Schizosaccharomyces pombe: one gene and its partners. The protein of the gene in region 1 binds, or shares a complex with, the protein of each later gene. Each region holds a gene or a part of one and is shown in the gene's direction. Other genes may lie near its edges.

The links.
Region 2: rrp4 (region 1) and rrp40 share a complex: the UniProt entries of both Schizosaccharomyces pombe proteins name them as parts of the RNA exosome complex.
Region 3: rrp4 (region 1) and rrp41 share a complex: the UniProt entries of both Schizosaccharomyces pombe proteins name them as parts of the RNA exosome complex.
Region 4: rrp4 (region 1) and csl4 share a complex: the UniProt entries of both Schizosaccharomyces pombe proteins name them as parts of the RNA exosome complex.

The regions. Positions count from the first base shown.
Region 1 is NC_003424.3:557,180-566,002, reverse strand, and holds rrp4 (exosome subunit Rrp4), read left to right. Parts: upstream 1-3,841; 5' UTR 3,842-4,035; coding exon 4,036-5,025; 3' UTR 5,026-5,179; downstream 5,180-8,823. Other genes in the region: phospholipase D Pld1, read left to right, coding at 1-835; rsm24 (mitochondrial 37S ribosomal protein mS35), read right to left, coding at 969-1,450, 1,539-1,833; tryptophan-tRNA ligase Wrs1, read left to right, coding at 5,499-6,686; RNA-binding protein Nrd1, read right to left, coding at 7,783-8,823. UniProt on the Schizosaccharomyces pombe protein: Non-catalytic component of the RNA exosome complex which has 3'->5' exoribonuclease activity and participates in a multitude of cellular RNA processing and degradation events.
Region 2 is NC_003424.3:1,176,454-1,183,016, reverse strand, and holds rrp40 (exosome subunit Rrp40), read left to right. Parts: upstream 1-3,076; 5' UTR 3,077-3,085; coding exon 3,086-3,808; 3' UTR 3,809-4,161; downstream 4,162-6,563. Other genes in the region: SPOM_SPAC22A12.14C (BSD domain-containing protein), read left to right, coding at 646-744, 800-850, 895-1,788; mug84 (pig-P phosphatidylinositol N-acetylglucosaminyltransferase subunit), read right to left, coding at 2,176-2,763; dihydroxyacetone kinase Dak1, read right to left, coding at 4,210-5,952. UniProt on the Schizosaccharomyces pombe protein: Non-catalytic component of the RNA exosome complex which has 3'->5' exoribonuclease activity and participates in a multitude of cellular RNA processing and degradation events.
Region 3 is NC_003424.3:3,160,380-3,168,925, forward strand, and holds rrp41 (exosome 3'-5' phosphorolytic exoribonuclease Rrp41), read left to right. Parts: upstream 1-2,747; 5' UTR 2,748-2,841; coding exon 2,842-2,844; exon of another isoform or gene 2,845-2,892; coding exon 2,893-2,932; exon of another isoform or gene 2,933-3,043; coding exon 3,044-3,729; 3' UTR 3,730-3,975; downstream 3,976-8,546. Other genes in the region: pdc201 (pyruvate decarboxylase), read left to right, coding at 1-1,563; ppt2 (holo-[acyl-carrier-protein] synthase new8), read right to left, coding at 1,940-2,064, 2,144-2,232, 2,291-2,475; tif211 (translation initiation factor eIF2 alpha subunit), read left to right, coding at 6,077-6,146, 6,209-6,379, 6,486-7,165; png1 (chromatin modification-related protein), read right to left, coding at 7,812-8,546. UniProt on the Schizosaccharomyces pombe protein: Non-catalytic component of the RNA exosome complex which has 3'->5' exoribonuclease activity and participates in a multitude of cellular RNA processing and degradation events.
Region 4 is NC_003421.2:2,274,988-2,283,302, forward strand, and holds csl4 (exosome subunit Csl4), read left to right. Parts: upstream 1-4,280; 5' UTR 4,281-4,345; coding exon 4,346-4,891; 3' UTR 4,892-5,299; downstream 5,300-8,315. Other genes in the region: ubiquinone biosynthesis protein Coq11, read right to left, coding at 1-211; U6 snRNP-associated protein Lsm8, read left to right, coding at 2,915-2,939, 2,994-3,162, 3,226-3,316; opt3 (OPT oligopeptide transporter family protein), read left to right, coding at 6,625-6,925, 7,040-8,315. UniProt on the Schizosaccharomyces pombe protein: Non-catalytic component of the RNA exosome complex which has 3'->5' exoribonuclease activity and participates in a multitude of cellular RNA processing and degradation events.

The DNA.
Region 1 (8,823 bases):
CAGTTTAATTCCTTCTTCGATTGAATTCAATATTAAAACTCAAAAGGACAAGGTCGAGTTTGAAAAGAACTACGAGAAGTCTAAAAAAGGGCCTGATGTTATAGCCAACGCCCTAGTAGGCGGCATCCCCTTATCACTGAAAACAAAGGAGGACTCATTATATGAACTTTCCAAGTTCTCTCAATGTGGGGAGGATCAACGTCCAATGGTACTTAAAGACCCTGATCATCTAGTGCCTGAACCCAGTCGTCCACACTGTGGAAATGGACTTGTGTTTTATGATGATATACCATTGCTTGAGGTGAATCCTATTAGTGGAGAAACAATTCCTAAATTTGACGCTTCAAGCTTTGAGGACCCCGTCTGCGATGAATTTTTTGAAGACATATGGTCTAAAGTGGCTTCAAACAATACTACTATTTATCGGCACATATTTCGATGTGTACCGGATGACGAGATGCTAACGTGGGAATCATATAATGAGTGGAAAAAATATGGAAAACGCTTTAAAGAAGAGCAAGCCCGCTGGCGTCAGGAGGAGTTGTCAAATCTACACGAAACTCATGAAAAGTCAGAGAATGATCCAAAAAATCCAAAGGCTGGTTCCCAAGGTAGTGGTAACACGAGTGCAAGTGAAGATTCGAAGACAGAGAAACCAAAAACCCGTACTAATAATGGTTTACAAGTTCCTGACAAACGTGTAGTTTACGACTTACTACGTGGCATTCGGGGACAGTTGGTAGAACTTCCATTAAAATGGATGTCTACCGAATCAAACGCAAGAAATTGGCTCAGTAGTATTGACAAAATCCCTCCGTTAGAAATTTATGATTAGAGAAACAGTACCTTTTATACTACAGTTTTATTTCATCTTAATATAGTAATGAGAAGGATTAATTCCTTCAATATTAGCTTACATTATAGACTCGTTAATTTTAATAGTAACTTAAACAAACTTTCCTTTCATATTATTCATCTGTAGTTGCTATCGATTCTCGTTCAAGTACTGTATTATGTGATTGCTTGCCAATCGTTGTTTTCTTTTTAGAAGTGAGTGTAGTTGCGTCTGCGAGCCATTCCTGTGGCATCCGTTTATCACACTTCTTGTATTTCCAATGGCCAGTATTCAATGGGACATGTGAAAATTTTTCAGCATTTCTCTTCGATTCTTCAATGAGCGAAGTTAATATCTTTATAAGATGATATTTATTTTGTAGTGCAGAAGAATACTTGTCGGAAGATATTCTGACTAAATCCTCCTCCGGATTATATCTTGGTCCAACCAATAATCGTAATACATGTCGTTGTTTCTCCTCTAGCAAAGGAATATTCGTAACTTTAAATGTAACAACGACCTTCGGATTCATTTTCTCAAACGAAGACATTTGGACATCAGATTCAAACCTAAAGATCTGGCTATCAGCAGGCTTTTTAAAAGACTGTGTGTAAGCTATAATTGTCAGAGAAAATGGAACATTAAGCATATTAAAGTGATTGTGAAATAGAATTCCTAAGGTAAAACTACCCAGTAAACTTACGCGTAAGTCCAGGAAGCTCATAAGCAGCTTTCCTATACAATTCACGTATGACCTCGTGCTCTTGTATTTTCTGCCATGATAGATTATTGGAATGGACGTTATCATCAATTGTTTTCAATTCCTTCTCGTCATGAGGCTCGATTCCAAAAGGCGCTGACACATAAGCACTTCGCTTAAATCTTGTAAAATAGAAAACAGAGAAAGCTCTACTAGTAGCACAAAAGCTTGATTTGGAAAGTTGCCCGAGGAATATGGCATCTGCTTTCAATAAAGATAAAAGGGGATTAAAAGCCATTTTATAACCACCCAAAACACTAAATATATGTAATATTTGTATTATAAAAAAAAATAAACCACATTTAACGAATGCGCAGTAGTGTATGATACCGGATTTTATATTTTCTTTGAAACGAAAAGAGTGGCCGTTATAAATGGAAATCTGAATCTAACAAAAACTTTTTTTCTAAAATTTAACAATCCAAATGCTCAAAACAATTAAATAAGCTACAAAAAGGTACTTGAAGGGGATAGTGAAGAATGTATAAACATTGTTGTCCTTGACTTGACTTCGTTGTATATAATTATAACACACTAAATCTTAGTAGTTAGAACCAGTAAAAACCACATAATAGACTGGAATGAAGGTTAGTAACGTAAAATAGCATCGATTCTACTCAATTGCATTTATAACATCTATTGAATAAAAACACCTAATAATACTTTCAAGCTTTTTTTTTTCTTAGGAATTTAATAGCACTTGCTTCCCATCCTTTTTTGGCATTCGCTGTTTAAAAAGTGTGTTAGTTATCCTTATATTTTGATTTTCGTAAGCAAGACTACACTACGTTACGCTGCGTATCACTATATGTCATCTGTTAGGATAGATTTAAGATTCGTTTACTAATAATTGCTGATAACTATTCTTTTGAGTACTTGTTTGTGTTTGATCATGTTTACTCCAAAAGATTATAAACAGAGTACATCTGAACAGAAACAGGTTCGTTTATATGTTAATTAATGGCAGGTAACAACGTAACCCATGTATAAATACTTACAACAAATTGCTACCCACATCACACCTATATATAATATGATATTACCGATCACAATGAAAACTCACAGAAGTCAAACAAGATACTACAATGCGCAGCTAGATAATATTGCACTTTCATTACTAGCGCTATTTAGTAAATAATTAAAAGAAGTTCGATTCAATTGTAAGTTTCATGAGAAAACAGGAAACTCCATTTAAGAATGATTTAAATATAAGAAAAAGACGCAATGTTTTTAAGAAAATGGGGTAAACAGAGTGATGGCAAGTCATCTGCTCAGCGTCTAGTCATTATTATTCCCTGTATGTGTTAATTCAAGCCTATCAAAGTAAAATAAAAAATTTTTTACGAAATAATCTTTTATTGAACTTGATTTAAAAAATCTGTATTTTTTATTTAACTATATTATTATGAACGTGAAATAGTGCTTAATTGGGTTCTTTAACCGTGATGTTTACAATGTTTGTATTGTATTACTTTTAAGTTAAGTAAAAACTAAATACCTTGACCCACATAACTTGTTCTTTGCAAAAATGTTAAGGAGCTGAGTATTTTAGAGTACTCAACACGAATGGAAGTCAATGCATATAACAATCTGTAGACAGTAATATTAGACTGTTAATGTTTACATGAGTCATTTGTAAAAAAAAAAAAAAAAAAAAAAAAATTATAAAATAATTGAATAAATAACCTATTACAGAAATCTTCAGACAACGATATTTTATTAATTTATTCCATTGCAATATTGCTTTAATACAATTTGGCTTGACATTGTGATGGAATTGACATGGATAATTTAAAATAATTAATTAAAAATTTTGTTGAAATTAATTGACTATTAACAATTCATGAAGTATCGTAAATCTGCCCTGATAAAATAAAATTTAAAAAAGTGTTGAAAGTGTTAATGGCTTTATAATTTGTAAACTTAGCCGTTTATTAAGTTTGAATATTGATAATTATTGAAGAATAAAGCATTATTTCCATTTTTTCTTCGTTGATTCATAGCTTTCATCAGACCTCTTCTGACCAAGGTTGACTAATGTATACAATTTGATTTTAATGACAATTCTTTCTTCTTATTAATAGTTTTTGCATAATTTTTCCCCAGCTTCTTATTTAATCCATCGAATATTTCAAATTTACTAACCCATCATCATTTTACCTTTAGATATTTTACGAGGAGCAACGCGTTACTTTAGCGGTTTAAAATTCTTTAGCTTTATGAATCAGTGTAAATTTCACTTTTGCATAAACACTAGTGTAAAAGCATTACAGGAGACCAGATTTGGTTTAAATTTAGTGGCTATAGCTAATTATCCAACATAACCCGACTAATCTTGATTTGTGGAAAGGGTAGTTATTAGTTTTGTAGTTTCTAAGAATTCTAAGTCGTGGTTTGTCCCAGTATCTTCTTTTGTCGAATTCAAACGAAATACTTAAAAATGGTTACAATTTTAAAACCTGAAGAATTCTATGTTTCTAGTGAAGCTGACATCGTAAACGATGTTTCCATGACTGAAATGGAGGATGAAATAATGGAGGATGAACAGATGGGTCTTGTAGACGGAGAAGACGTTTTAGAGGAATTTGATAAATCGATACATCAAAATTTAGTTACACCCGGACAACTAGTGACTGATGATCCTCAATTTATGCGCGGTCATGGAACGTATTTCGAGGATGGAGGAATATATGCATCTGTTGCGGGATCTGTACAAAGGGTCAATAAATTGATATCCGTGAAACCTCTTCGTTCTAAGTACGTTCCCGAAATTGGTGATTTAATCATTGGGAAAATTGCTGAAGTCCAACCAAAACGCTGGAAAGTGGATATTGGTGCCAAACAGAATGCTGTGCTTATGCTCTCTTCTATTAATCTTCCTGGTGGCATTCAAAGACGAAAACTAGAGACTGATGAGCTTCAGATGCGTAGCTTTTTCCAAGAAGGCGATCTCTTAGTTGCGGAAGTTCAACAGTACTTTTCCGATGGTTCTGTATCAATTCATACACGTTCTTTAAAATATGGAAAACTCAGAAATGGTGTTTTTCTTAAGGTTCCTCCTGCGTTGGTCGTTCGATCAAAATCACATGCTTATGCTCTAGCAGGTGGAGTCGACATTATTCTTAGTGTAAATGGATATGTATGGGTTTCTAAACATAATGAAAATCAACATTCGTCAGTGAGTATTACCAGATTGGAGGAGGAAGCCTCAGAATCCATATATTCTAACGAAAACGATGAGATTGATGGGTATACCAGATTAAATATATCTCGTGTATCCATTTGCATTAAAGGGTTGGCTAGTCGCTCTCTCCCTCTGACTCAAGCCTCAATCACCAATTTTTATGAATCATCTCTTGTTTTCTCAAACCTTCAAGATTTGACTGTTCCTAAAAATATGGATCAGATAGCAATGGAAGCAATGCAGTGACTTTGAAAAGCTTTTCTGTCTCTAAAAAACAACACTTGTGCTGGACATGGGTTTATATATAAAAATAGAATTGTGAGTTTGCAAAAGTTGTTTATGATAGCTTTACTATTGATGGCAGCGGTCCCACTAATCTAATATATCAGTTTATATTTAATCATATTTTTTGTAATACATTTATTCAAATTCTTATTTAAGTTTTCGTATCGGCTTTAATTAGAGACACTACAACTGCGCTAGTTTTTCGAACGCTCTATCTCAACTAATTTAAGCACCCAGAAACAGTTATAATGAATACATTTTTATAAAGGAATCAGCAGTACTAACAGAAATTTTTTAAAGAAATTATGAAGTTACCGAATTTGTTGGCGATAAGTTAGTCATCGCTTTTGTCTGATTTACCACTTCCTCCGCCAAGCAACAAAATTTTCTGCGAACGTAGTGCGCCTTGAACAGTTTCTTTTTGAAGAGGAAAAATGTCTGTTGAGGAACAAATTGTGACGCCCTGGGATGTAAAAGGCTCTATAGTCGATGGTGAAGAGAAAGGAATCGATTATGAGCGCTTAATCGTTCAATTTGGCACTAGGAAAATTACTCCTGAACAACTTGAGCGCTTCGAAAAGCTAACTGGAAAGAAGCCTCATTTATTACTTCGTAGAGGTGCTTTCTTCTCCCATCGTGATTTTGATATGATTTTGGACCGCTATGAGCAGAAGAAACCTTTCTATTTGTATACAGGTAGAGGACCAAGTAGTGACAGCATGCATTTAGGCCATATGATTCCTTTTATGTTTTGCAAGTGGCTTCAGGATGTTTTTCAAGTGCCATTGGTCATCCAGTTAACGGACGATGAGAAGTTCTTGTTTAAGCAAGGTGTTTCCTTAGAGGATTGCCAACGATTTGCTCGTGAGAATGCTAAGGATATTATTGCTGTTGGGTTTGATCCAAAAAAGACTTTTATTTTCATGAACAGTACCTATGTTGGAGGTGCGTTTTATCAAAATGTCGTTCGTATTGCGAAATGCATTACTGCAAACCAATCCAAGGCTTGTTTCGGCTTCACCGATAGTGACTCTATTGGAAAAATACATTTTGCGTCAATTCAAGCCGCTCCTAGCTTCAGCAGCTCCTTTCCTCATATCTTTAATGGCGCCAAAGATATCCCGTGTTTGATTCCTTGTGCAATCGACCAGGATCCCTACTTCCGCTTGACGCGTGATGTTTCTGGTAGGTTGAAATTTAAGAAGCCTGCACTTTTGCATAGTCGCTTTTTCCCAGCTCTCCAAGGACCACAATCAAAAATGAGTGCCAGTAAAGATTCTTCTGCGATTTTCATGACTGATACTCCAAACAAAATTAAAAATAAGATCAACAGGCATGCTTTCTCTGGAGGTGGCGCTACAATCGAAATCCACCGTGAAAAAGGAGGTAACCCAGACGTTGATGTTGCATATCAATATCTTTCTTTTTTCCTAGATGACGACGAGAAGTTGAAACAATTGTACAATACCTATAAGGCTGGTACTCTTTCAACCGGAGAAATGAAAGGAGAGTGTATTAAGCTTTTACAGCAGTTCGTTTCTGACTTTCAAGCAGCACGTTCGAAAGTTGATGAGGCGACCCTTGATATGTTTATGGATGGATCTCGTAAGTTAGAGTGGTAGATGCGTTGTCTTTCTTTCATTTTACAAATAGTGTAAATTAGATACTTGTTTAAGTTGCATTATACAATGAAACTGAATAAACTGTTTTTAGATTGTGCTACAATGTTCAGCTGTTCTAATAAATGAGGAAAACATTTACAGCACCAAACGCACAATATAAATAGAGACTCAAATACTGATGCCTTTTCAAAACTCATTACTACGGTAGAGTTTTGTTATGTTTGCATTCATTAATTACCGAACTTTGTACAATCTCTCAACGACGGTGTAGGATGAGCAAAAGAAGAGATGTATATTTACCTAGACCAAAAATATATACATAAGATCATTAGAACAATTTCGGTTTGGAACTAGTAGACAATAATGGGTTGAAAAACGCATTTAGAACGCGACAAATAAACCATAATTAACAAACTAGCATTTAAATATGACCAGACAATCAAATTAAAGCTATTGTTAAGTATTAATCAACACCGTTGAAGTCTTCAGCAATCACTTTTGATAAAGAAATAACGTTGAAAATCGAAACATAAATATATAAGAATATGTAGAATGAAAAAAAAAATAAAAATAGAAGTCAGAAGTACATTTTAAAACTGTAATTGAAAATGTGGAAAGATTCGTCAATATTGTTTGCAAAAACGAATCAAAAACGAAGGACATCGAGCTTTTGATAGAAATACAAACTCGATAACCTCTAACATAGTAGAAAAAATGCCAAATAAAACAAAAAAAAACTGCTACTTCAACAATGAAGGTTTTATAATGCGTAAAAATGAAACAAAGTAAGAAGAAAAGAGTATGGGCCACGTTGAGTAAGGGGCATAAACGAGAGAAAGTAAAACGAAGGAATGTTGAAACAATAGCAAGTAAGGTCATTTAAACAAAAGAATACTTTTTCTTTTGTAATGCGAATGCAAATGGTTACCCTTAATAATCTAATGTAAAAAAGAAAGTGATTTTGTAAAATAAGCAATAAAAAAGTTCGTCAATAAAAGGTGTTTTATGAGCACAAATTGATATGAACTCAAAGCGCTGGAAAACCTTTATCCATAAAAATATCGAACACGTTTAAGAGCAAAACACTCTACAATATTTAAATATTGGAGTTTGTTGGCATAAACCCGGATATTCCTTGCTGAGGAACAACGAGATCAACAGGCATGCTCATATCAGAAGAGACAGAAAGAACGTCTGACTTGGAATTAGTTCTAGGTGGATTACCACACCTATCTTTACCATAACTAATTCGATAGTTTTCATATCCCTTCTTCTGCTTGATTCGATCAATCGCATTAATCGCACTTGCCAACGACGTAAAGTTAACAAAAGCGCAATTCTTTTCGCGGAAAAAGTTGACGTACTCAATTTCGCCAAATTCCTCAAAATCCTCTTTTAAGCGTTCAATAGTCAAAGAATCATCAGCATTGCCAATATAAATGTTACGACTAGCACCACCAGCAACGGCTAAAGCGATATTTGAGGGAAGAGGGCCGCTATGCTTACCCCAACCTATCTTTAAACGACGGTTGCGAATGACCAAACCATGAATGTTGGACATTTCAAAGAATCGAAAAGCAGAAACAGGGTCAACAAAAGTTACGAAACAAATGTGTTTTTCCTGAAGATAACGAATATTGTGTAACAATCCTCCACGAACAGCGTTACATATCTCTTCAATAGTAGTATCAGCATGGATATTACCAATGTAAACAGTGCGATTCCCAGTCATGATAAGATCCGGTTTTTGGAGAACCGGGCTTGGGGGAGGATACCCCATTACGGGATAACCGCCAACAACGCCGACTTGGCCTTTAGAAAAGTAAGCAGGTTGCTTCAAACCCACAGCGCATCTATCCCGTCCGTAGTAAATGCGCCGTTTGGACCATTTGGGGTTTAATGGTAGCTCTTGGACAGCTTTGATTGCAGCTGCAATGTTCAAAAAATGAACAAAAGCTATATTTCGTTCAGTTACGATTTTGATTTGATCAATAGGTCCAAATGGTTCTAAATCTTCACGAATTTCATCTTCAGTAATACCATTCGGCAAGTTGCCGAGGAATACATTCCTACAAGCGCCAGATTGCTGGACTGCAAGTAGTACAGATGAATTCGAGGCTGAGTTCTTGCCCCAACC
Region 2 (6,563 bases), 620 kb from region 1:
TGCATTTTACTTTATCTACCAGAATCGTGACTCTATAGCCATTAACAAAGTTGTATGTCAACACCTAGTTAACTGGTGCTTTGTTATCTTTGTATTGCTTACTTCTGCTAATGGCTTTGTGGAACTGACAATAATTGGTAGTTAATCATAAAGACCCTGTATGTTTATCAAATTTTATAGCATTGGGTACTAATTCCTTTTATTATAAATACAATCGTTCTTTTATCTTAGTGTTTATACTTACCTGAGTTTGTGAGTAGCAGCTTTTTTATATATAGTTTTAAAAGTATTCTATTTATTAAAACATCTCATTTGATTAAGTCGAAGTGCAAAGTGGTGAAATTTTATGGTGTTGTGTATATTTTAAAATTGCTTTACTTCAAAAACTTAGAATTTGTTTTTTGGACGAAAATAAGCTGTAGTGGATTGTGTAATGCCTTTTTCATTAAAAAGTATTATTGGAAGTATACTAAGTTAGTATAAGTGTCCATAGTCAGAATACGAGCATAATCGTGTCACTATTCGGTAGGCTATACAATATCTTCACTTGCTGCCAAGTACAACATATATAGCTTGTTTGCTACCAAACACATGTGAGCTTATTCTAACAACTAAGTACATAAGTTTTCTTTTAAACTATTCAAAATGGATTTGTACGATTATATGGCACCTACAACCACTACAGAAGAAGATGATGAAGAGGGATACGAAAAACTGAAAGAAGAAATGGGTTCGGCTCTAAATGTAATTTATCCTTTATGATGATTTACGGCGCGGAATTTACTGACATTTTATACAGAATCTGACGAATGGAAAGTTTGGTTTGTTTTGGAACTCAATGAAAGAAAAGGTGTGTTGATTGCGAATAATGGCATTGTTACTAACCGTTCAAAGAGTGAAAACTTTCTTGATGATACAAAGGGAAAAGCCTCAAGTGGAATGCAGCAATTAAAATCACAGCTTGAAGAAAATATACCTGTTAATTCTGCTATGGAAAACTTGCGAAAAGTAGAAGAAACAGCAGGAAGTTTCTGGAGTGGCTTCGGATCTACAGTGAATGGTTTTTTGGATCAAGCATTGCAGATATCACCCAAAGAAGACGATGTATCGACTCCTACACACGAAGCCTCTTCGTCTGTTTTCTTAAATCGCCACGAGAGACAGTTGTTGGAACTTGTTCAAAACGAAAATACTTTTACCCAAATTATCTCTGAACCCTCTCATGGGATCACGTTTGAAAGCTGGGAAAAAGAAATTTCCATTGATGGGAAAACTGAAGAGATCTCTTTACTTTTGGAAGAATATCCTGATTTAAGGAAACAGATGGAATCTTTAGTACCTTCTGAAGTTTCTTATGATGATTTTTGGAAACGATTTTTTTGGCATAAAGAGGTTGTACAGCCGATAAAGGCAATTCAATCAGGAAACGATGAAGAAGAAATTTTTAGTTGGGGAGATGAAAGAAGTGATGAAGAAGAAAGTGACAATGAACAGGTTAATGATGAAAAAAAGCAATCAAGTGAAGAAGATACTACTGAGAATAATTCAGCAGCTGAAGTGATAGATGAAACCGTCAATGATTTGGAGTCAGCAGTTTCAAAAGGCTTACAAATTGAAACTCAACCCGCAAGCCATGATGGAGAGGTTGATGGAGAAGTTAAAGAAGAAGAGGAAAATAAAGTATCATCTTCCAGTAATATAGAAGCTTCTCAAAGTTCTCTTGAGGTGAAGGATGAAGCAAATAGAAAAGTTGATGACGATGATGAAGACGATGATGACTGGGAATAACGACTCTCGTCAAACTATTAAAAAGAGATATACTGTTTTTACTTCTCTTCTATTCATTTACTTGTTTTGGTGTGTTTTGTTCGTATAGCTAATTATTTGTCTGAAAACATTTTGTTTACGAACAACTCTTAGGTATATTATTAGCGGAATATAAAAAACATCTAATCTTGAGTATGCAGGTTGGAGTAGTAGGACTAGAGCATTAATCAACCTTCTTATAATATTATACATTTACATATACTTTTTGATTGTGAAACTTAAGGAAACCAGGATTTAAAAGTAAATCTGTATGGGTCGACGACATCAATAGATAATAAGTCCCTTAAATAATGAAGATTTTTAAGGAGAAAATGAATTCTGATATCACTTAGCTGCTTTTAGTCTTTTTTAAGTTTCTTCCAGTTGTTGTTTATTCACATCACATAGGCGAAGATCAACAACTCGACCATGAGCAGCACCATCTTCTTCACCAACGAGTGCGTATTGATCAACGATACATTCTAAGCTGCTAAATGGCTTAGTCAATACTTCGGTATTGTAAGCGTTTAGCACAACGTGAATGTAAATAACAAGAACAAATAACCAAGTAGGAATAGCTAGAGCCCACCAACGAGATAGATAATAATGAATCTCAAAAAATTTGAGAACAGGCGCAGGCGTCAGAGCCCAAACAATATACACGCCGAACCCCAACATTGACACCAAATACATCACGAACCCGTAATACTCATAAGTAGGAACTTTTACCATTATATCCCAATCTTGTTGATCAATTTCTGCAATGGCAGTTCCCTCTTCATCAGGCGTTGTAGACCTCGTTCGAAACATCGTAGTCAAAGATGGCGACGGTGGAACCAACATCGGATGTCCGTAAAACGGAGGATCAAAAACAGTAGTTTGCCTTACATCTTCTATCTCTCCTTCAGCAGAACCCTCTATCCCTTTTATGAACGTGGAATGATGAGTAAGTGTCATCCAAACATGTGTTTACTATGTGCATTTGTTAGATGAGAGCGCGTACTGAGATGATACAAATACAACTACGTCTGCTTACGATGTGATTAAATTCGATATCCCTATTAACGACATACATACAGAAAATCCTCGTAAACAGCATTATAGCACAATGTACGTTTGCGTTATTTTTCACAGTCTGGGCTAATGTGATTTATAAAATTAACGAGATTTACAGTATTAGTTTAGACACACTTACCGTCCAAGACATTAATCCTCGAATTATAGTGTATAACTCGCGAAAAATCAAACCCCAAATAGCTAATTTTCTTCTGTTAACCAAATGGCTGAAGTTGAAGAAAAAGGTCTGTTATCTTATTACTTTCCTGGTGAGCGGATACCAGACTCCATAATTAGTCAGGATGGATCAATTCGTTTAGGTCCTGGTTTAGTCTTTCAAAAGAAAGACCGTGAAGAAGAAATAGTGGTCTCAAAAGCTGGGAGGTTGCATCAAACTGGAAAAAATGCTATGTTGATAGACTCACGGACAAAAAGATATATTCCTGCTACAAATGATCAAGTTATTGGGCAAATTATTTCTAGATTTGCGGAAGGTTATCGAGTAGATATTGGGTCAGCTCATATTGCTCAATTGAATGCATTGGCTTTTGAAAATGTGACTCGTAAAAGTAGGCCCAATTTAAATGTTGGAAGCCTTGTGTATGCTCGAGTATCACTCGCTGATCGTGATATGGAACCGGAGTTAGAATGTTTCGATGCTACCACAGGGAAAGCTGCAGGATATGGTGAACTTAAAAACGGTTATATGATAACAGGTTTATCTTTATCTCATTGTAGGAAGTTGATCCTTCCTAAAAATACACTTTTACAGACCCTAGGAAGCTACATTCCTTTCGAAATTGCTGTTGGAATGAATGGTCGCGTTTGGGTCAATTCTGAAAATCTTTCTACTACGGTCCTCATTTGTACAGCTATCAGAAATTGCGAATTCATGTCTGATGAAGAGCAAATAAAGTACTGTAAAGACCTTATTAAAAAGCTCTAACGAGATTCAGAAAAAAAAATTTGAATAATATGCACAGTCTATTTAACAATTCTTGTCCAATTGGGTTTAATTCAAAAATGGTTTGCCCTTATCTAGGAGGGACCATTTCTGAATAAAGTGTATTGTTTCTTCTTTAATGCCTGTGTCTAATATTCCCATACAATTTCTGTCGTTCTTTTATTTATTACAGCAGCGTGTTCATACAATATCTACACTCGTCCTTTCTCAACTGTTTTAATTAAAAAATTACTTATTATAATGCATGAATATACAAATACAGATGCAAAGATAAGTAAGCAATAATTAATGCATGCATAATGAAAATATAATTGTTATTCGTGCTCGTAAATAGTTTTTAAGATCATACCAATTCTACAATCCCAAAAAAATTTCGTATCCAATTATTTCGTAAATCCTTCGACAATTGCAACGACACCAAGAGCGCCGGCATCGGGAACTTTAACATCATCACCAACGTAGACAGCACGTCCAAGTTTGGCTTGCATATCTGCAGTAGCATCAGCACCTTTACGAGCCTCCTCTACGGCAGCATTAAGATCATTAGTTTTAACAAATGTTTCGACAAATGGAACAAGAGCATCACACATAGTGCTGTCACCAGGACGAGCGGGAGTATACTTGAAAAGAGTATCAAGAGCAACCTTCAAACCAGCAGCCCATGTCTTAGATGAAATGTCCTTGCTCTTCTCCAAGGTGTCTTTCATGCCCTTCGCAAAGCCATGGAAGAAAATGGCGTACAAAGCACCAGATGTACCATCCATATTGTCTTCAATAACATCTGCGATATCACGAACAATACGAATAGGATCGTCAGAGAATTTGTCGGATTTAACAAACTTCAAAACACCTTCAGCACCACGCTTCAAAGTAGTACCACAGTCACCATCACCAGCCATCGTATCGAACTTTGTAATTTTAGGCTCTGCTTTGATGAGATTCTCCATCGAATTGACAATCGCCTGACGAACCTTCTCCTTATCGACAGTAACGGGAGACTTGACATCCTTCTGACCCTCCTCGATGCTGACATTGCCAATCTTGTTTTTGGACTTCAAGTCAGAGGGTTGACACAAAGGCCATCCGATAGCTTCAACAGGTTGGTCAATCAAATCAACCAAAGAGTATTCTTCGCCCTCGACTTTGACGCGGTCAGTGGTACGGAGCAAAGTGATACCGAAACCCAAGCCATTCAAACTGGTGGTAAATGGACCGGCAAAGATGCGAACGGGGTTGATTTTGTATTCTTTAGCCAATGCTTCCTTCACCTTGTGGCTAATGGCACTGAATTCAAGCATGGAAAGACCACCAAGGTTATTCATAAGTAAGACTACTTCATCGTCACCCTCAATCTTTACATAGGCACGGTCCTTGTCGGATTGATCCAACATTTGCTTAAGCATCTGAGCGATTAGGTCATCAATAGAGGGAATAGGGGAAATACGCTTGCATCCAGGTTCATTGTGAATACCCATTCCAAGTTCCATTTCATCATGTTTCATTTCATCTTCTTTTGCAATTGGCTCATGACCAGGGACGTGAACGTGAGCGAGTGAAGCACCGATACTAACCAAATTGTCAATAGCAGCCTTAGCAATGGTCGTAACGGCTTCCAAAGGTAACCCTCTGGCGGCAGCTGCACCAGCGATTTTGTGAACAAGAACAGTACCAGACAAACCACGACGTCCGACCTTACCGCTCTTCTTACGACCTACTGATACGTCATCTGCAACGGCAATAAGTTCAGCCTTCTTACCAGCCGTTCTTTGCTTCTCCAAGGCCATACCAAAGTGAAGGATGTCACCGGTGTAGTTTTTGCAAATTACCAAGGTGCCAGCCTCAGATTCGACTTGCTTAATACCGGTATAAATTTGCTTTGACGAAGGAGAAGCAAAAATGGAGCCTGAGACGGCGGCAGTAAGCATACCCTTGCCCACGAACGAAGAATGAGTGGGTTCATGACCAGCACCACCGCCGGAAATGACACTGACATTCTTTTTGTTGTAGTCATGGAAATAGATGAATTTTCCCTCTTCATGAACAGTTAAAGTTTTGTTCATGTCGGCCAAGGATTTAAGGCCATCAAGGACGAGGACTTCAGGATCGTTGATAAAGTGCTTATCCATATTTTAGAATAATAAGAAAAAGGTAAAAAAAAGAGAATAAAGCCTTAAAATAAAATTAAATATAAGTTGGATAGTTAAATCAAATATTCCCGAAATTTATGATCTAAGAATATAAAATGACTTGTTTTAGGTGGTGGGGAAGTGCAAGTGTGAGTAAAGGATTAAAGAAATAAATCTATGTGTCTCTAAAATCTCAAAATATTAATATCAAAATTCCCTTCAATGCGAAAAAATTAACACTTTATACGCTACTATGCTTCAACTGGTTTAAATACAAAATAAATAAACCAAGAATATACTAGTAAACGTTTCGTTTCGTTACGTTATGTCTCGTTTTCGTTTCGCTATTTCGTAAAAGTTATGAGTGTAGCGGAAAAAGGGAGCTTGAAGACGATTTAATAATGCTGGCCTTGTCTCTCTATATATACTATATAACCACCAATTTGCATGACGAAGTGCCCCGCACGTAACGGAAGTGATATTATGCTGAAACAGTGAATAAACACATCTAGATAACCGTAGAACCGTTTTTCATACCCTTCAACTAATTACGAAATGTTGCCGATATGAACAATTAAATTAAATATCAGCTTGCCTTGCCGAAGATGACC
Region 3 (8,546 bases), 2.6 Mb from region 1:
GGTAATGAAAACGAGCTAAACGGTGCTTATGCCGCTGATGCTTATGCTCGTGTTAAGGGCATTTCTGCCATCGTCACCACTTTTGGCGTCGGTGAACTTTCCGCACTCAACGGTTTCGCCGGCGCATACTCTGAACGTATTCCTGTCGTTCACATTGTCGGTGTTCCCAACACCAAGGCTCAAGCCACTCGTCCCCTTCTTCATCACACACTGGGAAATGGTGACTTTAAAGTCTTCCAGCGTATGTCCTCCGAGTTGTCTGCCGATGTCGCCTTCCTGGATAGCGGTGACTCTGCCGGTCGTCTCATCGACAACCTGTTGGAAACGTGCGTTCGCACTTCAAGACCCGTTTATCTGGCCGTTCCTTCGGACGCCGGCTACTTCTACACGGATGCTTCTCCCTTGAAGACTCCATTGGTTTTCCCTGTTCCCGAAAACAACAAGGAGATTGAGCACGAGGTGGTTTCTGAGATTCTCGAATTGATCGAAAAATCCAAGAACCCTTCTATCCTCGTTGACGCTTGTGTTTCCCGCTTCCACATTCAACAGGAAACCCAAGACTTTATTGATGCGACCCATTTCCCCACTTACGTTACTCCCATGGGTAAGACTGCGATCAATGAGTCATCCCCCTACTTTGATGGCGTCTACATTGGCTCCTTGACCGAGCCTTCCATCAAAGAACGTGCCGAATCTACTGACTTGCTTCTCATCATCGGTGGTCTTCGCTCCGATTTCAACTCGGGCACCTTTACTTATGCTACCCCTGCATCTCAAACCATCGAATTTCATTCCGACTACACCAAAATTCGTTCTGGCGTTTACGAGGGCATTTCGATGAAACATTTGTTGCCCAAGCTCACCGCTGCCATTGACAAAAAGTCCGTTCAGGCAAAGGCCCGTCCTGTTCACTTTGAGCCACCAAAGGCTGTTGCTGCTGAGGGTTACGCCGAAGGAACCATTACCCACAAATGGTTCTGGCCTACGTTTGCCTCTTTTCTTCGTGAGTCCGATGTAGTGACTACCGAGACAGGTACCTCCAACTTTGGTATTTTGGATTGCATTTTCCCCAAAGGCTGCCAAAATCTCTCACAGGTATTATGGGGCTCAATTGGTTGGTCGGTTGGCGCTATGTTTGGTGCTACGTTGGGCATCAAGGATTCCGATGCTCCTCACCGTCGTTCCATATTGATTGTTGGTGACGGTTCCCTTCATTTAACTGTTCAGGAAATTTCTGCTACCATCCGTAACGGTCTCACCCCTATCATATTTGTAATTAACAATAAGGGATATACAATTGAACGTCTCATTCACGGTCTTCACGCTGTTTACAACGACATCAACACTGAATGGGACTATCAAAACCTTCTTAAAGGCTATGGTGCCAAAAATTCTCGCTCCTATAACATTCATTCAGAAAAGGAGCTCCTCGATCTCTTTAAAGATGAGGAATTTGGAAAAGCTGATGTAATTCAGCTCGTTGAAGTTCATATGCCTGTCTTGGATGCTCCTCGTGTTTTGATTGAGCAAGCCAAACTTACCGCTTCTCTTAACAAGCAGTAAAAAATATGGCTATGGCTATATTATTATGATATGTTTTTGATTTTGAAATTTACAATATTTCTCAAATGATGCTTTTGTTAGGTTAGTTAATTTGCAACAGTCGTTTTTTTTTTCTACGTCAATCCATATTTCTTTCATAAAATGAATGAATATATTGAAGTTTATGCAGCGGTTGTTTTTTTGTTGGTAATTAGGATTCATTGAATGATTTATTTTTTTTTTCTTTTTGCATCCCCTTACTCCAAGGTAGACTTGTCCAGATAATTCCCTGTTAGTATAAACTCAATAACATAAAAAAAGGTCATTGAGACGACTGGTAATGAGTAGCAGCAATAGAATCACTAAATAATATAGTACCTTCAATTTGGTCTCTCGTCTATGTCTTTGGCATAGATGGTAGATACAAAGCATTCGCTACAACCAAATCTTCCTCATGGCTTACAGATACCATTACGGGAGAAAGCGGAAATCGGGGATCATGAATAACAACGGAAGGGTAGCCTATATTAATCATAACAAAGTCAGTAACTTTACAAACCTTTTATTTTTAAACATTGAACATGGAAAACAAATGACACACCTGTGGGAGTTCGAACATACTCCATCATAGACATGTAAACTCGAAAATTCGGTTGTAAAGCTTTGAAAACAGCTTCTTTGACGCACCATCTACATAGGAAAATAACCGTTAAAACTATGAAACGATCATAAATATAGACAAGCATACCTAACAGCAAGCCATTTAGCCTGTTCGCTTAAACGAGGCAGCGAGGAATTGCTTTTAATCAGGTTGTACTTTTTAATTTCATTTTCACACAGACATTTTTTTAAAAAGTTCTTTTCCCATTCAGGAGAGCGTTGAATTAATCTTGAGATTCTTGAAATTTTTAAAATGTCAATCCCTAAACCCATTTCGATTTTTGATTCTTTATAACATGAACAGGAAATATTAATGGTAATGCAAGAAGAAAAAAAGAAATCTATGGCTTCAATAATTTTGAACGCTTAATTAATAATATATTGTAAACTAAATTTCCGACACACTAAACGAGATATAAAAATCTTTATCCTTAAATAAAATGAAATAAATTTATCTAATTCATTATCGATTAGTGCCCCCAAAGACATCAAATCCAATTCGTTTCGTAGCGAATGCAGTAGCAGGAGTTTTTACTGTAACAAGTGTACTCTCTACTCACTCCCAGTTACAAAAGTGTTCAAAGGGAACCAAAAATTATATATTTGTAATCCTTTCAATCACGAAAAAAAAAATTTCATATGGTAAGAGATAGAATTTATCTCTAGATAATACGAGTACTAACCATATAGTCACACTTTGAGATTTTATCCCTTGAAGGTCTTCGAAATGGTAAGCCAATTCATTTATGGGAAATGAAAAAGAAACTTAAAATTTACATTCAAACATCTATGATTCTTATAAAATGTATTAATCTTTCTGTGTGCTAATATTTGTTGCAAGATGGTCGACGGTGGGATGAGATGAGAAACTTTCAGTGTCGTATTGGAATCGAGCCTTCGGAGAATGGGTCGGCGTTTATTGAATTGGGTAACACAAAGGTCTTGTGTATAGTCGATGGACCCTCGGAGCCTGTAATAAAGTCCAAAGCTAGAGCTGACAGAACATTTGTGAATGTCGAAATAAACATTGCTTCTTTCAGCACAATAGATGTGAAAAAGAGATTTAAATCGGATAGGAGAATTCAATTGCAATGTTTAGCTTTACAAAATACATTTGAGGAGATAATTCAAACAGAATTATATCCCAGAAGTCAAATTTCTGTCTACTTGCATGTTTTACAAGATGATGGTGCAGTAATGGCATCTTGTATCAACGCTACTACTCTTGCCTTAATAGATGCTGGTATACCAGTTAAAGATTTCGTTTGCTGTAGTACAGCTGGGATTGTTGAGTCTGATATGCTGTTGGATTTAAACTCACTAGAGGAGTCAGCTCTTTCATGGTTGACGGTTGCTGTTTTGGGGAACATAAAAAAGGTCGTATATATGCAGCTGGAAACTAGTATGCATTTGGATTATTTGGAGTCAGTAATGAATATGGCGATCGCTGGATCAGAACATATTTATAACACGATGCAAAGTGCGGTTCGACAAAGCGCTAAACCGGCACTTGCAAGTCTCAGCTAATGACAAAATTTTGGGGAAAAAAACTATTAAAAATAAATGAACGGGAAGATTAATTTTTATAATTATACATTGATAAGTCATCACAATTGCAACTTTACTTAGCTCTACGATATTCTGACAAAACGTATACAGCTTTACTCATTTTATTCCTAGTACAACGTTTTTGTCCTTATCCTTGGTATTTCTGTATAAGTATCAAAAAAATCACCTCGAATATCGTATATAATCTTTTAATGATTGCGTCCCTTTTTTGTCTAAAGGGGCTTATATTACAAAAAATATGGATTGTACTGTAGATATTATGCATCAAAAAAGGCTCATTAATTAGTTGAAGATTTTATGAATAAATTCGGTTATTCAGATCTCACTTATTATAATAAATTGATTATTTTTTGGGGGAGGCTTTCATAAACAACCGGGAATTTTTCATTCAACAGATATTACAGATTGATGTGGATTAAAAAGAAAATATATATATATATATATATTTTTTTAGATTTTTAGATATAAGAAACCTAAGGTTTATTATGAGAATCGTAAAACTGTTTTTCGAGATAAATGTTAAATTTGTTAATGTTAAAATATGAAAAACACAGTATTTTTATTTTATATATTTCTATAATGGTGCAAACTAACAGTAGCTCTTGTAGCTCAGTGGTAGAGCGCCTGTCTCGTAAACAGGAGGTCCAGTGTTCGAGTCACTGCCGGAGCAGTTTTTATATTTTTCGATCACAGATCGGCCTTTCTAATAAGCATTGAAAGCTACAAAATGAGTATACTAAGATACTTATTAATGCATATTCTTGTAAATAGGGTTTCTCACAATTCATCGAATATACATACTCAAATTCTGCCGTTACTAGTTGATTGCTGATTTCAAGGACATCTTGATTAATAAAATGGAAGAATCGCTGTAGGATCAACAGTTAATATTACCTTCGTTTTAAAAATGAGGAATCTCGTGCCGTTCAACCAAAGTAAAAATGAAACTTCGTCAAACTGCATGACTAAGTTTCCCCTTTCTGTTTTTGATGCTTTCATAGCACTGTCAAGAATACCGTTGCGCAAATATCTGGCAATTATATACATACCAGTTCATCGCGGCCTGATTTAAGTTTTGTACGTTTTATTGTTTTCAATTGTTTTTACTAGACAGCATACTGAAATATGCCTTCAACAGTTTTTAATTTTATCAGTTTGATTGAATACATCAGTTTCCCTAAATGCTTTCTATCTTTGCCTTCAAAAACTTATTGCTTATACATGTTATAAATATACTATTTAAACGTCTACGGCCATACCTAGGCGAAAACACCAGTTCCCGTCCGATCACTGCAGTTAAGCGTCTGAGGGCCTCGTTAGTACTATGGTTGGAGACAACATGGGAATCCGGGGTGCTGTAGGCTCATCTTTTTTTGTTGATGATTTGCTTCTTTTTATATTAACATATTTGGAAAATACTTGTAATTAATTTAAAGCGGCTTTTCTCATTCTAGGTACTAGATGAGTACTTTCGTTACAGCGCAATTCTTGTATTGACCAGGTACGAATCGGAATGGAGGACATCCCACAACAGACAAAAAATGAAATACAATTCACAAATTAGTACCACATCTTGTTCATTTTCATGAACAAGTGTTAAAGAACTTTTATATTTATATAAAAGACATATTCAACTGGTTGTCTTTACTAAGTTTAGATGCATTCTTGATTCAATGTATCTACGAGAAGCGCATTGAAAAAAAAAAGTTTGTTTGTAATAGTTTATATTCAAAGACTGTTGAAAACACATTTCCTCAACTATTCTTGAGTTTGGCATTGATAACCTTTTGAATTTCATTAATACGAGTTCTCACTTTTTTTTGTAATCCAAAAAACGGTGATGGATGGTTTGTAAGGCAATGGATTAACAACTTTTCAATAAAATAATTCTTTACTCTAGTCAAAGGAACAAGTGGAATCAATTAGACAGAGTCTTCTATTCGTAAACTTTCCAATTGTAATTTTCGTTTGAGGGAAAAGAAAGTTTAAGTATATTATCTGTAATTCTAAACGATGTAGTAAACTAGTAGTTTATTAAACACTTTAGTTTATTAAATACTTTACTGCTAGTTTATTCAGCGTTCGGCTGGTAAGCCAGTTATCACCGATCGTTATGTGCTTTTAGATACTAATAAATCTTCTTTAAGGAAACTTTTTAAATATAAAGAATAATTATTGATAAACAGTTAAGTTAAAATGACCAATGTCTGGGTTCTGAAAAGAAGCAAAATTGGCCCCTAGAGTTTAGAAGTGGGTAGTCCACACAAATTTTTACTCAGAACCAAACACTCAACACTTTGCAAAAATGTCGACGACAAGCTGCAGAATGTACGAGAATCGCTTCCCGGAAGTGGATGAACTCGTTGTTGTCAACGGTATGTAAAAAATGCACATGTTGTCTGTCTAAAGAAACGGTAATGGCTAATATTTCCAATAGTTCGTCAAATCCAGGAGATGGGCGCTTATGTAAAATTGTTGGAATACGATAATATTGAAGGAATGGTTTTGCTCTCTGAGCTTTCCAGACGTCGTATTCGTTCAGTACAAAAGCATATTCGCGTTGGTCGTAATGAAGTCGTCGTGGTCTTACGTGTCGACAAGGAAAAAGGTAAGAATTTATTAGTAGTTTTTTTTTTTTTTTTTTTTAAAAAAAAGAAAAACAAAAGGGGAAAAAAGGTTTATAAGTTGTTAGGAATGTACTAACCAGGATTAAGGATACATCGATCTTTCAAAGCGCCGTGTTAGCCCTGAGGATGTTGTAAAGTGCGAAGAACGCTTCAACAAATCTAAGGCTGTTCATTCCATTATGCGCCATATTGCTGAGAAGCATAATGTTCCTTTGGAGACCATGTATACCACAATTGGATGGCCATTATACCGCAAATATGGACATGCTTATGACGCCTTTAAGCTTGCTATTAGTAACCCAGATCATGTCTTTGAGGGTTTAGAACCTCCCAAATCGGGTGTTATTAATGATTTGTTGGCTCAAATCTCTCGTCGTCTGACGCCTCAGCCCATTAAAATTCGTGCTGACGTTGAAGTCACTTGCTTTGGCTACGAAGGTATTAACGCTATCAAGGCCGCTTTGAAGGCTGCTGAAGATGTTCATACCGAGGAGGTTCCTATCAAAGTTAAACTTGTTGCTCCTCCACTTTACGTCCTTTTGACAAACGCATTAGATAAGTCATTGGGTCTCAAAAAGCTAGAAGAGGCAATTGGTGCAATCGAAAAATCCATTACAGCATCCAATGGTACCTGTACTGTTAAAATGAAACCCAAGGCGGTTAGTGAAACTGACGAATTGGAGCTTGCCGATTTGATGAAAAAATTTGAAAAGGAAAATGCTGAAATCTCTGGTGATGAAGAGGATGACCAAAGCGGTTCTGAGTAAATGGATTAGACACTAGCTAATATACGCTTTTTCATTGTGAATTTTTGGCACTTTAGTGTTCCATTATAATCTGGGGTTCTTTTTATTTTGTACTATACACTTTATCAAATTTATCTAGTGATATCTATGGTTAAAAAATTTCCTCTTCTTTTTTCCGAATGCGTAAGAGTTCTTTTATATGTTACGAGATAATATGAAAACGCTAGACGCTGCATCTTGTTCCTTTGTATGTACAATAATAAGTTCAGTTCCAATATAGTAGAAATAATGGACAACAAATGCAATTACAAATAATAAAGTTACAAAAGACTTATTACTGTGGTTAGCTACGGCGTGTAATATCTGCTTTGGGGAGGATTGGGGAAATTAAAGAACTGAATTTCTTAATGTACAAGTAATCTGGTACTTATTATGTGAGTGAAAAACAAACAAGGACAAGAATAAGATAAAAAGGATTCGTAATCGTGAAGATATGATTAATAAATTAACCATTTTGCAAATCACATATACACAGCTTGAACAACGTATAATCAAATATAGTAAGTTCGGAACAGGTGAAAAATTAGCGGATATTAAAGCCCAAAAAAAAACAACAATGCTTGCATTCAATAATGGGAAGACCAACAGACTTTAGATTGGGGAAAAATTACTTAGCATCAACAAGCTTCTGATCCCTACAAGCTTCGCAATACCATGTACCTTCAGGAGGAGCTTTAAGACCAACACACTCCATATGGAACCATTCACGCTCACAATTAGCATTGTCACAAGCGACCATTTGCCCATATGATCCTTGCTGGCAAAAACAATACTTTTCATTATCCTCTTCCATATCTTCTTCTGAGACCATTTCATTCGGCGTTGTGGAATCTGCCTTAGTTTCTAACTGGGTGGTTGCAGTGGCATTCGAAACCTTCTGACCGCGAGTTGAACCAGAATCTGCCAACGAAGCCGTATAAGGAGAGTGATAGACTCCATTTTGAATTGCACCCCTGGTAGTTGCTGAAGTACGACGGCGACCAGCTGTTGAGGCTCCCGACCGAGAAGGGGCCGGTGTTTGACGAGCACTTGAGGCACCACTTGGACTGTATCCACCATACGGTGAAGAAGCATAGTAGTCAGGAGCATTTAACAATTCCGCAGCTGTAAATCCATGACCGGCCTTTGCAAGTCTATCATCCAATCGCTTTATGTGCCGTGTAAGTCCCAATCTGGCACGATCCGCCAACTGGACTTTCTCGTTCTGTATATTAATTGCCTTTTGATACTCCTCGCGAATCGTCGAATACAAAGCATCTTCTTTTGGATGTGGGGTCAAGGAACCATGTGATTTAATGTATGACTGAATCTGAGAATCAGCTGCTTGAATTCTCTTCCAGAT
Region 4 (8,315 bases), on another chromosome or scaffold:
CCGAGGCATCACGAAGAACAGGAAGTAATGAATTTGGATCTTTTTGAGCATCCAACGTCTCCCATTCAACATCATCCATCCATGGTTCTTTGTTATGCAATCCTCCAGCTCCTCTTCGGGATACTGAAACCACCTCGTAACCCTTAGCAATGGCTAATTTGCAAATATTATGCCCTAAAAAGCCTGAACCACCTAAAACAACAATTTTCATACTTAAAACGAGGGAGAAAGTAAAAATAAAATTATTTAAAGAATTTAAATCTTCAAATTAGACAATTTGATATAGGCCAGCCCAAATTATTATAAGGATTAGAACCCCAGAATTGTTAATGTAAGCTAACACCTCAAAGTTTCGTGATGCTTATTATTAATCTTAATAATTGAGAAACACAAAAATGCTGTCTCAAAATATTTTTAAAATTTCCTTTTACGAACAATGTTCAAAAAACCCTTTCAACCTGAGTAGTTAGTAAATCGTAGTTGAAGAGAATGAGGTAATGTGCTAGCTCAATAAGGAAGACCAAGAGATGGAAAGAGGTAATTAATTATCTTCTATTAGACTTATTAATTTATAAAAATATGTACATCATTTAATAAGTATGCAAAATAACCATCATTCATAATTGGAGTATTAGTAAAAGTTTGTCTTAAATGAGAGCGCTAAAAAAAATTAAAAATAAAAATGCTTTGATAATTTAGTCTTTAATTTTCTATACTTTATAAGCCATTGATTAATTTCTTAATTATCTTTGGATTTTAAATTCGTAATAATAAGATCTCAAATTCAAATACTTCATAAACCCATTTACAAATATGTTAGATTAATAACAAATTCAATTTTAAGCTAACAATAGAGCTTATGAATCATAATATTTATTCCGATAACCCTGAAGACACAATTTCGAGTTTTATGAAGTGTCTGAGAAGCCAGTTGATTGCTATTCTGTTCATACAGAAAATTTCGTGATTCATAGCAAGAGGAAAGAAAAAATCTCAAATTTTTTTTATTTTTTTTTAATTAATATTATTACATATTTAGTTGATCGATCAAGAAATCGTTGAGCGAAAGTATTAAATTCATATATTCTAAAACAATACACTGTGGTTTAATTTTATAAATTTAAAATAACTGATCGTTACGAGATCTATTAGAATTTTAAGTCTTCTTATTATTGATATCTACACCTTTTTTGTTTTGAAAATATATAAATCTTATTTTTTTTCTTTCATTCTAATCAACATCCTTTTTTTTTTTTTGAAATTGTTTTAAATCAAATGTGTATTTCATTATATTGTGACTGATAAAAATATGTTTGCGAAAGCAACATTTGAACAGATTGAGTAAATAGGCTATGATATAGTAAATCTTTAAATTTAATTTAATTCTCAATACCAAATAAATATTTCTTCAAAAAGGGTTACAAATAAATTAGCTATACTGTGGAGTATATGATATATCGATCCCCCTGATGTAACAAATATAACATATAACAATATGTGTTTAAGTATGAGTATATTCAGAATACATTGGAAATAACGAAAATCCAAATGAAACATTAAGCATAAATTTCTGATTTCTAACTTGCCCTTTTTATTTTATTTTATTCATCATAGTTGTCTACTATTCCAACACAAGTTATGATGTTAATGAGTTGCTAGAATGTTTATTTGCGAGACAGTAGTATAAATATCCTTTCGTAGCTGCTGTACGTTATAACGAACAACTTAACTTTCTTAAATTTTTCTCAATAAATACTTAAATTTACATTGAAGAATATAGCTGAAAATAAATAAACTCACGATGGCAATTTCTCAGCCTCTTTAAGTAGATTTGCTTTTATAGTCACTATGATCTACTGGTTTAGTTCTGTGTGCTGCTTCGTCAAAGTTGTAAGTCTTCGCTTAATTATTAGCGAAACTTTATTTTATCAGATAGGGATAATATCCAAGAAAATTGTACTACCAAGCTGCTTTGAGAAGATAATACAAGTACTGAGATGAGTGTAAAAAAGTGCCAAGGAAAACGAGCTGCGCCCTTTAACTTCATCTGTCTATATTCTAAATGCCACCTTTAAAACAAAAATCTAACTTGTCTTATAATGTAAAAACCCTAAAGCTTCGCACTTATGGTGACACATTTAGTACAAATTCTTTCTATTCCATACGTTCTTTGCTGAATAAAGAGCGAAGACCGTCCCCTTTATATTCGAGCCGTCATTAATTTTTCATTCAAAAACTAAGATAGTAAGGCACATCGATAACAATCTAAAGTTGTGAAAAAATTCTTATAAAACGGAATTCTTAAATACTTATTTCTTCCAAATTATTTAAGCAAACCTTCAAAAGAAGAATTATCCTTCAATGATTTAAACTCAACAACTATCAAATGAAGTAATTCAAGAATATAACTGTAGTCAAATATATACATCTATATTCCCCACGTCCATAAGATTTGTATATTTGTTTACAACGGGTATTTTTAGTTAGAAGAACGGTTGCTTGTAATGATGAGGAAGGATTCGTGAGCCGGATATAGCTGGAATAATGTTCAATACCTTTTCCTTTAATAGATCTATTTTACAAAATAAATTTCGTTGATTAATAAAACAAAAGATCATTTAAAAATCGTGCGCTTCACAAATTACTTTAATTTTCTTTTGACACAAGATTGTGTTCCTTTCCAAACTAAAAATATAATTGGGTTACTTCTTATATTGATAGCAAAGTTAGCTTCAAAATTTTAAGACAAAAAGGTGTTTTCAATTTGATTAGTTTATTAAAATTCTTGATTTTTTTGTTTTTGCTGTATGTTTTATAAAAAGTATCATGTCACTTGAAATACATGCTGTAAGACTACCTACTTTTGTTTAGCACTACCATACTGTAATACAACTAATACTTAAATCACTTTATCATGAGTCTTGCTGATTTTATGGAACGTAAGTGTCAAATTTTCAATAGAGAATGAAGTGACTAATATAGATGTTCGTTAGAAAGGGTTCAAGTCATTACAAACGATGGTCGCGTTGTGCTAGGTTCCCTGAAGGGATTCGATCACACGACCAATCTTATACTTTCAGACTCATTTGAAAGAATTATTAGCATGGATCAAGACATGGAAACAATTCCTTTAGGCGTTTATTTATTACGTGGAGAAAATGTGTAAGTGGACGCAGAGCCTTGTACTGGCGGTACGTAAATCAATAATCTAATAGTTATTTTTAGAGCAATGGTTGGATTAGTGAATGAGGAATTAGATTCAGAAATAGAATGGACCAAAATTCGAGGTGAAGCAATACCTGACGTTGTGCATTAATACAAAAACCGGACGTTAAACTTCAAATGAGAACAAACGTTTAAGGCTACATAGGATTTGGGTTAATGATTTTTTTGTTATATTTCCTCTTTGTGCGGGCGAATCCTTTGCAAATTTTGTTAAGCTTTCCACGATATATTCATACCTTGCAGCATGTCTTTTATCAGGAAGCTATTAGCTCGTAGAAAGAAGTGAAAATTCTTTCTTTATTTTTTTAAAAAAATATGACTGAGGTTGTAGATTAATTCTGATGACAAAGAGTTGACACTTGAACGAAAATACTTAAAAAAATGGTTTAAAATACCGAGTTCGAGGACATCGGTTCTTTCAGAATTTAAAAAATTCTTGGTTTCTTGTTAAATTTGTGGATCACAAACTCATTTTTCTTCTTATTTTGTGGGTTTCATCTTTCTTAAATGATTCTTGGGAACGTTAACATACCTTTGTTTCCTTAATTTGATTTATGCACTTTGATTTTGAAATTTGTGGTCAACTTGTTTAAAGACTTTATATTTATCATTGATTTTTGTTATTATATGGAAAAAAACATCACAATTTATATCATTTACTGTGCATAACATTCTTCATTTTTGCTGTCACGCTTAATGTTTACACTGGAAAATTTCTCTACCTTGAGAAATATTTCAGCATCATGGTCCAATTTACAAAGATCATTTGAGTTAAACAAAAAAAATGATTTATTATATTTGCTGCTCATATTTTTTTTTTAGTGATTTTTTATTTTGGCATCGTTTTGTGAACTTACTTTCCAAGCTTTGGGATTATCAAGAAAAAATTTTTGTTGAAAGAAGAGCAGAAAAACTGTTTGATAATTAAATGCCTTTGCAATTTCATTTTCTCAATTTAGCAAAATAAACTGAAATTTCTGCAGCAGTGACTTTAGGTTACATTGTAACCTACAGTTTACAACGACCTTTGTGCTTACAGCAACTTTTTTTCAATTAATTTTTTACAGCCATACAAAACGGACTTGATTCCTTTATTTTTAGTTTATTAAAGCCGTTAAATATGAATTTGGTTCTCCCTGGACAGGTGGTCGCGAGAGGGGCTCCTAACGGTGAAGGAACGGTAAAGAGAGGAGATTATATTATTTCCACACGAACTGGCATCTTTGATCCAGAGAAAAATTCTGTAACGTACCCAAGAAAAGTTGAAGAGACAGCCGTTTTACCTAATGTCGGATCTATTGTTTTAGCTCGCGTCAGCAGGATCAATGCTCGTCAAGCAACTGTAAACATCTCAGTCGTTGACGATGTCTGCACCAAAGATGAATTTCAAGGGGTAATACATGTGCAGGATATTAGAGCTACTGAGAAAAATAAAGTCAAAGTGCAAAATTCATTCCGACCGGGTGATATTGTCAGAGCACTTGTAATTTCACTTGGAGACGGCTCTTCGTACTTTTTAACAACAGCTCGAAATGATCTTGGTGTGATTTTTGCTCAGTCTAGTGAAACAGGAGAGCAAATGTTTCCGGTGGATTATCAGCATATGCAAACAAAATCAGGATATACGGAAATGCGTAAATGTGCTAAACCTATATTAGACGAATAAAATGAGGGGATAAAATTGCTTTGTTTTGATATAACCTGATAGTTTTTTTTCCCTCTCGGTTCGTTCTTTCCTAACAAAAAAAAAATTCTGAAATTGTTAGAGATTTTATGATACGAATATACGGAACACGGATAAAAATAATATTGAATATAGAAATATTGGAAGTTCATTAGAATGATGATTGAGGTGACTTGCTGTCGAAACCGATATCATTTTCAATTAGAAGTCAAATGTATAGTTTTATAAGATATAGAGAACCTTTGTAATTCAACTGAACGGACAGGAGCTCTGAAGTTTCTTAAAGTTATTTACTTAATGGAACTGAATTGGTCGGTTGTTTATAAACTCTAATTCATTAACAAAAACATGAATAAGGAGTTTCTAGCAATAATATGTGTTATGTTTACAACTTTCTAAGAAGGTTACTGTATTAAGTTATTTTGTGTAATTTAATATCGAGGATTGCACCTTTCATTGGAGGCTGTGATATCCTGAAATAACATTTATGATCACAGATTTAAGGATGAAGTATTTAATGACATGAAAATTAGTATTCGTACACCTCTCAGTAACTTTTCAAAACTACTTTCAGTTTTTACATTAAGGGATTGGATGTACTTTTTATACACAGTTTTATAAAATACTAGGTTGTCTCTAAACATCAAGTATCATCTCAATCTTTACTTTCGGCCATTAGACTGATATATTTTATATCAATTAATTAGTAGACAACTGTTTCCAGATTCTCATATAAGCACGAGAGCTTCTATTCTACCCGTCTTTTCCGTATATAGCTGTCATGACTCATTAAGCTACTCCAGCGTGAGACTATCAAATTTAATCTCTTCATCCCTAATATTTGTTTGTAAATACTTATAATTGCAAAATATTCCATTACCATGACATCAAATAGAGGATTCTAAATCCAATTCGCAGGTACACTGACTTTAATGGATTCTGGGCTAGTTCCATAAAAAGGGATTGAAAGGTTTTATTTTCCATATGATAATAGGTTTCAATAATCAGTTCGACAAAAACATCTTTCATTAGCATACTTATTACCTCAAATAGTCGATGTTTAACTATATCAGATGACTATCTTATCAGATTATTCTTCAATCTTAAGCTTAGGATTTCTATAAAAGTTGGTTACAAATACATCTCTTTATGACGAAAATTTACCGAAAAAAGTACATCTGGAGTCGCTCATTCCATCTTAGATAATTTGTTCGAGAAGCTTATAATTCCGGATCGTTTTGTCAGTAACTGTATGATGGGCTGAGATTGTCTTCTAATACGCTGTCTTCACTGGAATGCAAGAGCGCAATGGTTTTATATCTACTAGCTTTGTGATTCGGCGAGAGTTAAGATGTTGTTCCGAAATTAGCCATATGGTGAGTAAACCGTGCTGCAACTAATCTTAACAGATCAATTCTCACTATTTGAATTTGGGAAGGCTTCTAGGCAGCAACTTCCAGACCATCGTAAGTCGGCTTGTCGCTGTGCAGAGTATAAACGTGATGAAAAAGATGTGGAGATAATTCGTAACTTTGAACTCATGCACAGGTTTTTATTATTCGTTGTTGGTATCCTTTAGAAACCCTTGCGATTACTCCAGCTTGCACATCAATCGTATAAATATAGTCTTATTTCTTTCTCCAAAGCTGCTGATCTGATAAAGATTACTTTGATCAAATTGGTCCTGGGTTAAGTAACAATTTCATTTTTGAAGGATGAAAACTCCAAAATTTATCACTTACGTTACTCGTGGTTTCAAAGGACTTGAATCGAAAAGCGTTGAAAACAACAAAGACCATATCGTAGAAAACTCGAGCCCTATCGCCTCGAAATTTCATGAATTCGATGAGCAAAAGAAATCTTTTGAAATCATAAATTATGCTGGTCACGAAAAGTTTGTTGACGACATTACTGAAAGAGAATCCTCAGTACCAGGAAATGCTGTTTACGATATTACCGTCAGGGACATTGATGCAATTGTACCTGTAACGGACGATGTTGATATACCCGCATCGAGTAAGTCAAAGCTAATCCTACTTTTTCCTTTTTTTTTTTTTTTTAGAAGCTGTCATTCAGGATTTCCATTACTATCCCTTCAACCTTGATATTAACTTCTCACTTTCTTTGTAGCTTTCAGGATGTGGATACTGGCATTTGGTCTTGCTACCGTTATTGCAGGCGTTGATGCTTTCTTTTTGATGCGTTATCCTTCGGTCTCCATTGCAGCTATCGTTGCTCTTCTTGTAGCATATCCATTGGGTCAGCTCTGGTATTATATTATTCCACAGTGGGAAATAAAACTCCCAAGGGGTATACGTGTTTCACTTAATCCAGGGAGATTCAACCGAAAGGAACATGCCTGCCTATATATATTCGTCAACATTTGTGTCTCCGCAAAACTAGTTAACACTTTAATTATCGAACAAATAAAGTTTTTTGGAGTTAACATCGGAATTGGTAGAGCCATTTTATTCAATTTATGTAGTTATCTTTCGTCATTCGGATGGTCAGGTCTCGCTTTGCCAATTCTAGTGTATCCGCCAACATTGATTTGGCCTTCTGTTTTGAGTAGCTGCGCACTTTTCAAGATATTTCACGACAATGATAATACTAAGGCCTGCAACTGGACAATCTCTCGGCTTCGTTACTTTTTCATAGTTTTTGTTGCTTCTTTCATATGGTATTGGTTTCCTGATCTGATCTTTCCTGCTTTAAGCTCCTTGGGTGCTTGGATCAGTTGGTGTAAGCCTTCCAGTGCAGTTCTATCTCAAATATTTGGGGTAAAGACTGGACTGGGTCTTTTCCCTCTTACGCTCGACTGGGCCCAAATTTCCAGTTTAAGTAATCCTTTGATCACTCCCTGGTGGGCTACATGTTGTATTTTTACATCCTTTGTGTTTTGGATTTGGATTGTACTTCCAGGGCTTTACTATCAAAATTACTGGCAAGTTGCGCATTTCCCCATTATGACTAACAGTATTTACACTGTTTCGGGGAAAAGTTATGATGCTCAAAAAGTGGTTGATTCGAAATGGGAGTTGGTAACTCAAAAGTATCAAGAATATTCTCCGGTTATGCTTCCTATTGCTTTCATCATAAACATAGCCTTGTCATTAGGCGCATTTTCTTCAATGATGATATCTTTTTTCCTTCGTTTTCCTACCGATGTCATTCAGCCAATCTGTCACGTTTTTAAATATTCAGACATTCACACTAAACTTTTAAAGAAATATAAGCGTGTTCATTGGGGATTTTATTTGGCATCAATAATAGTTTCCTTAGGATTAGGCTTCGCTTTTACAGAAGGATGGCATGATATTCAGATTAGATCTTATGGATTTGTGGTCTCCATGGTTATTGGAGCAGCTTTGTACATACCGCTTTCATTAATCGAGTCTCGTTCCAG